2 linked regions of the Saccharomyces cerevisiae S288C genome follow. Changing the gene in region 2 together with the main gene of any one other region gives a genetic interaction. Each region holds a gene or a part of one and is shown on either strand. Other genes may lie near its edges.

Region 1 (2,395 bases), on a different chromosome or scaffold from region 2:
TAGTGAAGCTAAAGATCTGGTCACTGTCTAAATCAATGAATTGGAAATCGTAACCATAAATCATAAGTTCCTTATATTTCTTTCTGGCTTGCAAGGCCCTTTTCCAAAAATTGAGAACTGAGTCATCATCTCTGGATTCCTGCTCAACATTGATTCCTTGCTCAAAAGATTCATTCAAGAAAAACCAAGGTTTAACATCTGGGCCAGTAAATCCAGCATTGGGCTTATCTTTCGTCCATGGCATGGGAGTTCTCGAATGATCTCTAGAAAGTAGGGCGATTCCTTTAAAAAAATCCTTCATTTCCTTCGAGTTTTTACCAAAACTTTTTTTGATAATCTCGTAGTTGTTTTTCACATCAACGTCCTCATACTTTTCAATAGGCCATTCCTTGAAATTGATCTGGCCTATCTCCTGACCTTGATAGACATACAACGTACCTGTCAATGAACATTCTAGCAATGTTAACAGCTTACCAGATATTTTACGGTACTTTGGCGAATCGTCAGCAAATCTCGTAATTGACCGGGCTTGATCGTGATTCTCGATGTAGGTGGTAGCCCAACTATCAGTACCGTTAATGAACAAAAAGTTCGATGCAATGGCTTCTTTCCATTGTTTCAAGGTGAAGGGCACTATGTTATAACGGAAAAATGGCGAGGTACCAAGTTCAACGTGCGTGAAGGAGAAAACTTCGCTGACTTCGTATCTAGCTGCACTGGTGTATAAAGCATTATCACTTCCATGGGCAACTTCACCGACTGTCATTATTTCTCTACCATCTTTCACCCTGTTTTTCATAAATCTGTGTAGTTCTTGATGATATTCATGAATCCTAGGACCATTGTGAGACCCCCAATTTGGATGTTGTAATTTCGAGGTTTTGTCAAAAATTGGGGAATCTGGTAAACCAGGACGTTTCGAATACAAACCAGCGGTATCGATTCTAAAACCATCTACACCATGGTCCAGCCAAAATCCAACAGCACTTTCAAAGATTGCCCTTCTGCAGTCTTCATTCTCCCAATTCAAGTCAACTTGACGACTCGCAAACAAACGGAGGTAAAATTCATTTGTAGTTTCATCAAAAGTCCAAGCTGAACCACCAAAGAAAGATTTCCAATTGTTTGGAGGAATTGGCTTGCCTTCGGCGTCATAACCTTTAGGAGGTCTCCAGAAGAACCAGTCACGCTTCGGATTGGTCTTCGAGGATCTGCTCTCTTTGAACCATTCGTGTTCTGTAGAACAGTGGTTGATAACCAAATCGGTGATGAATTTCATACCCAGCTTATGAGTCTTGTCAATTAGCTCAAAACAGTCCTCGTTGGTACCGTATGTGGGCCAGACCTTTTCGTAGTTAGATATATCATACCCCATATCTTGTTGAGGAGAGTCATAAAACGGACAAACCCAAATAGCATCAACGCCAAGATCTTTAATATACTGCAACTTGGAAGTGATACCTTTTAAATCACCCCAGCCATCGTTATTGGAGTCTTTAAAACTTGCTGGGTAAATTTGATAGATTGTGGCCTCTTTCCACCACTTTGGTTCTGTTTCTGGATGATCAGAAATAGTCATTTATGTATTTTAGTTACGCTTGACTGATGTACATTTGAGATTATCAAAAAAACTGCTTAAGAGATAGATGGTTTAATTTTTTAGAGACGTATTAATGGAACTTTTTATACCTTGCCCAGAGCGCCTCAAGAAAATGATGCTGAAAGAAGAATTGAGGAAGGAACTACTCATCTTACGTTGTTTGTATCATCCCACGATCCAAATCATGTTACCTACGTTAGGTACGCTAGGAACTGAAAAAAGAAAAGAAAAGTATGCGTTATCACTCTTCGAGCCAATTCTTAATTGTGTGGGGTCCGCGAAAACTTCCGGATAAATCCTGTAAACTTAAACTTAAACCCCGTGTTTAGCGAAATTTTCAACGAAGCGCGCAATAAGGAGAAATATTATATAAAAGCGAGAGTTTAAGCGAGGTTGCAAGAATCTCTACGGTACAGATGCAACTTACTATAGCCAAGGTCTATTCGTATTGGTATCCAAGCAGTGAAGCTACTCAGGGGAAAACATATTTTCAGAGATCAAAGTTATGTCAGTCTCTTTTTCATGTGTAACTTAACGTTTGTGCAGGTATCATACCGGCCTCCACATAATTTTTGTGGGGAAGACGTTGTTGTAGCAGTCTCCTTATACTCTCCAACAGGTGTTTAAAGACTTCTTCAGGCCTCATAGTCTACATCTGGAGACAACATTAGATAGAAGTTTCCACAGAGGCAGCTTTCAATATACTTTCGGCTGTGTACATTTCATCCTGAGTGAGCGCATATTGCATAAGTACTCAGTATATAAAGAGACACAATATACTCCATACTTGTTGTG
Region 2 (5,492 bases):
TGATATAATGTTTGCGCATCCAGCCAAGATGATCGCCGTACTTCGCAGAAACGTTAACATCAAATATAGAGAGTCCTGAGATTGAGTAGAATATTATCGCCATTCTGTTCACGTCATGTCCCTGATGTGAAGAGGGAAGCAACTGTAGATGTCTTTCGAAAAATTTCCTATGCTTTTTAGTCACAACTCTACTCGGGCCATTGGTAGCTTGACACATTTTTCCACGATATAGCGGTGGGCAGAAGTGCTTGAAAGTACTTGTTCACGTTGGATAAATAAAGGTTTTCTTAAAATTGAAATTTAAATTGCTAGAGATGACTTGGGGGTTAGTGACCAAGTAATAGTTTTGAACTGGCGGGTGTTTTGATTGTATACTATAGTCACTGAAACTATTGCTTTTCCATTCTTCCAAGGCGCAACAACTCAGAAAAAAAAAAACAAGTGAATAAAACAGGTAAAAAAGAAGATCATTTAAAGGTTTTACAAGTGTGATATAAATTTTATTTTTTTGCTTTTTTATTTAGCATTATTTACTTATATGTATTTTGTTAAGACTATTTTTGGTTATCATGATAGAAATGGCATAAGTTTGGGAGTGAGTGAATGTAAAAAACAGTGAGGGAGACAAACTCAGAAATACAACCTGAATGAGGCAATCTCAAAAGGTCTCAATTTAATGGGAATTCTGTTTATTGCATGATTTGATTCGTCTCGCGTTGCTGTCAAACTCTTATAAACTTTCATCTCCAAGTTATCGACCTTCTCAATACGCTTCAAATTTAGTGTGGTATTTAGTGAAGCAAAAGATTCCCCGCCAAGAGATTCGTAAACCCTTACCACAATACTTTGTTCATCCCTTGGATTTAATGAATAGTTGGACTTGACAGCACTATCATCTTCGCCTCTTTTTATGTTAGACAAAATGACATTCTCATCTCCGGAAATGCTTATGATGTCATCAAAATTCATGCCAATATCTTTGGGGAGTTTGTATTTGAAGCAATAATTGAATTCGTGAGCGAGCTTAACAGTGTCGCTTGATAGTGCTCCTCTATGTGGATAGATAGCATATTTTATCTCATGAGTACCCATATCAGCATGCGCATCCGGAGCCTTTGGTGACCTTAATAATGATAATCTCATCAAGTTACCGTGTGTGGAAAACCCATATTTGCAATCGTTCAAAATTGAAACACCCTTGCTGTATTCAGAATAATCAGCAAATTTGTGATGGCAAACCTCAAATTTAGCGACGTCCCATGAGGTATTATAATGTGTTGGTCTTTTGGTAATCCCGAATTGAGTTTCATACGAAGCAAAATCGTTCCGAATATTAACGGGAAATTCAACTTTTAAAAATTTGTTTCTAGCATCCCAGTTTTCTACCGTCGTAGAAATGTCTACTTTACTTAATTTAGCATCAGTGACCGCAGTTGCATTGAGTGATATCACTGATTTGATTTTGCATTTTTCGGAAATTTGAAAAATGACCTCAACAGCACATTTCTCTTTTGTGTTGCAGGAAACTTGAACTTTCTTCGGCTTTGTTACATACTTGTATTGGTTGACGGAATAAAGTTCAGTATCCCAAGCCTGCCAGCCCAAAGGTTTATCATCATAAATAACAAACTGGTTGGCGCCCAATTTGTTTCTGCCATGTTCCGTGTCCAGGTATTCTACCCCCAAAGTTTCATCCGTAATGCTTGTGATCACCCCAGTCTTTTTGCAAATGATAACTTTCAACTTCCCATTGGCAAGGACTATATAGTCATCGTACCCGGTTACAGAGGACGTGTAACTACCGTTCAACGAGCACTCCTCAGAAACCTTTTCTGGTTTTGACCAAGTTAATGTTCTCATCTCAACCAAATCTGCCTTACTCTGACTCTGAAGAAATTGAACGGTTTTGTCTATTAAGGAAGTACATTCTTTCACAACGTTGTGCAACATAGGGACAGCCTCATACTTATATACCATTTCAATACATGATCCTGGTAGAACATCGTGAAATTGACATAACAAAACATTCTCCCAAAGTTCGTTAATCTGTTTGGAAGGGTATTTATACGAATCGGGATATAAAACTGATGTTTTGGCAGCTATCCATTCCAAATCATGTAGTTTAATTTCGGACAACCTCATTAATTTTTTGGTCTGAGCTTGACTGGTGTATGTCCCCCTATGAAATTCGAAATACAATTCACCACTCCATGTGGGTAAATCATGGCCTTGGTTAGTCCTTTTCAAAATGTCATCATAAAATTCATCAACCGTTATACCAACTTGTAACTTTGGAATAACATTACCATTTCTGTTATTCATGGATCTAATACGCCTCATTTTTTGCAGCATTTCCTCAGTTGGTCCTCCACCACCATCACCCTTTCCGTACAACATTAAACCGGAGCCGTAATATTCTGGTGTCTTATTCTGCTTGGCAGTACGCAAAACATCACCGAAGTGTGAATCTGCTGTATACGTATTACCAGGAGGCATGTGAGTCAATAATTGAGAACCGTCAATCCCTGCCCAGTTAAACGTGCTATGCGGAAAACTGTTGATGTTATTCCAGGAAAGCTTTTGAGTCAAAAATTTATCAATACCAGATAAGCGGCAAAGTTGTGGCATTTGCGAAGAATAACCAAAGGTGTCAGGTAACCAAAATATCTTTGACTTGAGACCAAAATGCTTCAAGAAAAACCTTTGACCAAAAAAGAATTGCCTTGCCAGCGATTCCCCTGAGGGAATATTGGTATCATTCTCAACCCATGTACCACCAACAGCAAAAAACTGAGATTGCTGAATTTTTGGAATTAACACTTTATTGAAAAATTCGGGATGATCTTCTAATAACCATTTAAATTGTTGGGCTTGTGAAGCAACAAATTTATACTCTGGGAAGCGATCCATTAAAGTACATTGGGAAGACCAAGATCTCACAATTTTCCTTCTTGTTTCTGCGAATGGCCATAGCCAAGCTGTATCTATATGACAGTTGCCGATACCATAAACATTTGTTAAAACTTGAGATTCACCTTGTTCGTAAACCTTACTGCTTTCTAAAAAGGAGTCAAAGTATTCCCTTTGTAGTAATTCACGACATTTACGAACACTTGAACGATCATTCGGGTCAAAAAGATTCATAACTGCATTGCCTAGTTGTCTTGCCTGGTGTTTTTGCCAGGAGTCTCCAGGTAGCTCTCTTGCAGCATCCCCTAGCATCCAAAAATCGATATACAATGCACGAGCATCTAGATCGGGCCAAACGATATCAGCTTTTCTCAAATGAAAAAATCTATTATCATCTGGTGGATTTATAGTGGATCCTGCACCGCAGCCAAACATACCATTATTACCAGCTTCGATGTAAAAGAAATGTTTCCCATCCGATGTTTTCGGTAAAACATATTCAGTCCTTTCACCACCTGAAAAAGCAGTCACAGGGATTAGAGTCTTTGGGTCTATGACAATTCCTTCGTTAGAACAATCCCATTGGAAAAGTAGTTGCTCGTTTGATTTAACCCAATCTTCAGGCAAAGAGATTTTCACCTTGAACCAAGTGGTAGACCAACTGGGTCCAAAGGGCTGATTTATGTTCGCTTCTCTAAACTCCAATTCACCCTTCTTGTCACGTTCAATAATAGATTTCCAAGATGGCCTCTTATCAGGGGAAACAGGGGAAGATCCACGTTCAAAAGAAACCTGGTACCACCAAACCTTAACGTGATCATGATCTAATGAAATGCGCTTCTTATCATAAAACTTGGGTAAATTTAAGTCATGGTAATCCCCACCAGTATCAATAAATTGTCTTAATCTATTCTCGTAGATTCCCTGAACAGGTTTGAACTGAGGATCATAAATGATATCCTCAGATGACATAATTAATTATTTTTGAAACTCTTTTGCAGCCTTAATCTCTATATTAGAAATGAAGTAACTGGTTAAAATAAAACCTCCTCCTGTCCTTCTAATATAGCTTCGTCTAGTCTTGAGCACATGATGGCGGAGTTCATTCTATGTCTCCCTTAAACGAGTTAGGGTAGGGATTACCCTCGCGCTATATGAATTCGTGGCACTTTTTGTGATGAAGCTAATGAAATTAGACAATAGGGTCGCCCATTTGAATAGATACTAAAAAGGAAAAAAGAAAACTGGCAATGTAAAAAAAAGTCTTGTCTATATTTTTTATATATCTATAGATTTGCCTATTGGAGTGATCAAAAAAAACTTCAATTAGCGTGATACTTAGGCTTCATTTTGAACTTCTAACATTTGCGCCGCGGTGTCAACTATGCAATCCTTTAAATTGTAAAACTGGAATCCCAGTAGTTTTTTTGTCTTAGAATTGTCAAACTTGCAAGAGTTTTTTTCTAAAAAGCTTGGACCGGTCGCAGGTTCACCTGTAGCTATCTTGCCCTTTAATTGAGGGAATTCCTCGTTCAAGATGTCAACGATTTCTTGACAGCAGAATAAACCTTCACTCAATACTAATCTTTGGCCGGTACATTCTGGTTTTTCAATTGCAACTAGGTGGGCTTTAGAAACGTCACGCACGTCAATAAATGGGCCACAGTAATTATAAAATTCTCCACCTACCTTGGAATGAATTAACTCAGATACGATCCCTGAGGAGGTATTTATGCCATGTTTTAGCGAATCTGCAAACATTTGAGGACCAAAAACGAATCCCGGATTGATAGTGGATAGTGTGAATTTGACACTAGACTTGTTTTCTTTAAGAAATTCCCAAGCAGTTTTTTCAGCAAACTTTTTCGAGCCACAATATGCGGCAACGGCGTTGGCTTGACAACTGTCCCATGTATCCTTATTCCAACTCTCCTCCGTGATCACCAAATCTCCTTTGTTCATGTCTGTAGGTGTCACCAGAGCAGCAGTAGACGAAGTAACAATAACTTTTTCAACAGTGTCTGCAGCATATTTTTTAATCGCTTCCAAGATAGATTTTGTACCGTTCACTGCAGGGGTTAGTAAATCCTTTTCAAAATTGGTAGTTTCAAAATGGAATGGGGAGGCAGTGTGTAGCACAATCTTAATTTCCTTACCATGTTTTTTGAAAACTTCATCAAAGGCGTTTGGAGCAGCAATATCTTCCACAATTTCCATCGATAGTTTGGGATTGTTATTAAATTTTTTGAGCAAGCCATCATTTTTTTCTTGAGATCTACCTGAGCCGATGACTGTATAGCCAGCTTTCAACAGATCGTTCATAATGTGTAGAGCAATGAAACCGGTTGCGCCAGAAACGAAAACAGTGGTATCAGTAGTCATAATTATTACTTTTTTAAGTCTGTTTAGCACAGTTGTACAATGCACAATTACTGTTTTTATAAACTATGTAGTAAGATCCATTGAGCTCGAGACATAGTTTTTCTGAATGAGCGGTTCATTTATAGTAATTTGTCTTCATAAAGTTGCATAGAATAAATTCCGGAATTATTCGCAAGTTTTTCCGTGTTTCTAGGATAGGG

What was found.
Region 1: mutations in AMS1 (region 2) and YBR298C-A together harm fitness more than expected from each alone (negative genetic interaction), as found in Saccharomyces cerevisiae (one large-scale study listed by BioGRID).

The regions. Positions count from the first base shown.
Region 1 is NC_001134.8:804,535-806,929, reverse strand, and holds YBR298C-A (uncharacterized protein), read left to right. Parts: upstream 1-1,673; coding exon 1,674-1,895; downstream 1,896-2,395. Other genes in the region: alpha-glucosidase MAL32, read right to left, coding at 1-1,579.
Region 2 is NC_001139.9:208,806-214,297, reverse strand, and holds AMS1 (alpha-mannosidase), read right to left. Parts: upstream 3,883-5,492; coding exon 631-3,882; downstream 1-630. Other genes in the region: protein geranylgeranyltransferase type I subunit CDC43, read right to left, coding at 1-217; carbonyl reductase (NADPH-dependent) ARI1, read right to left, coding at 4,249-5,292. UniProt on the Saccharomyces cerevisiae protein: Degrades free oligosaccharides in the vacuole.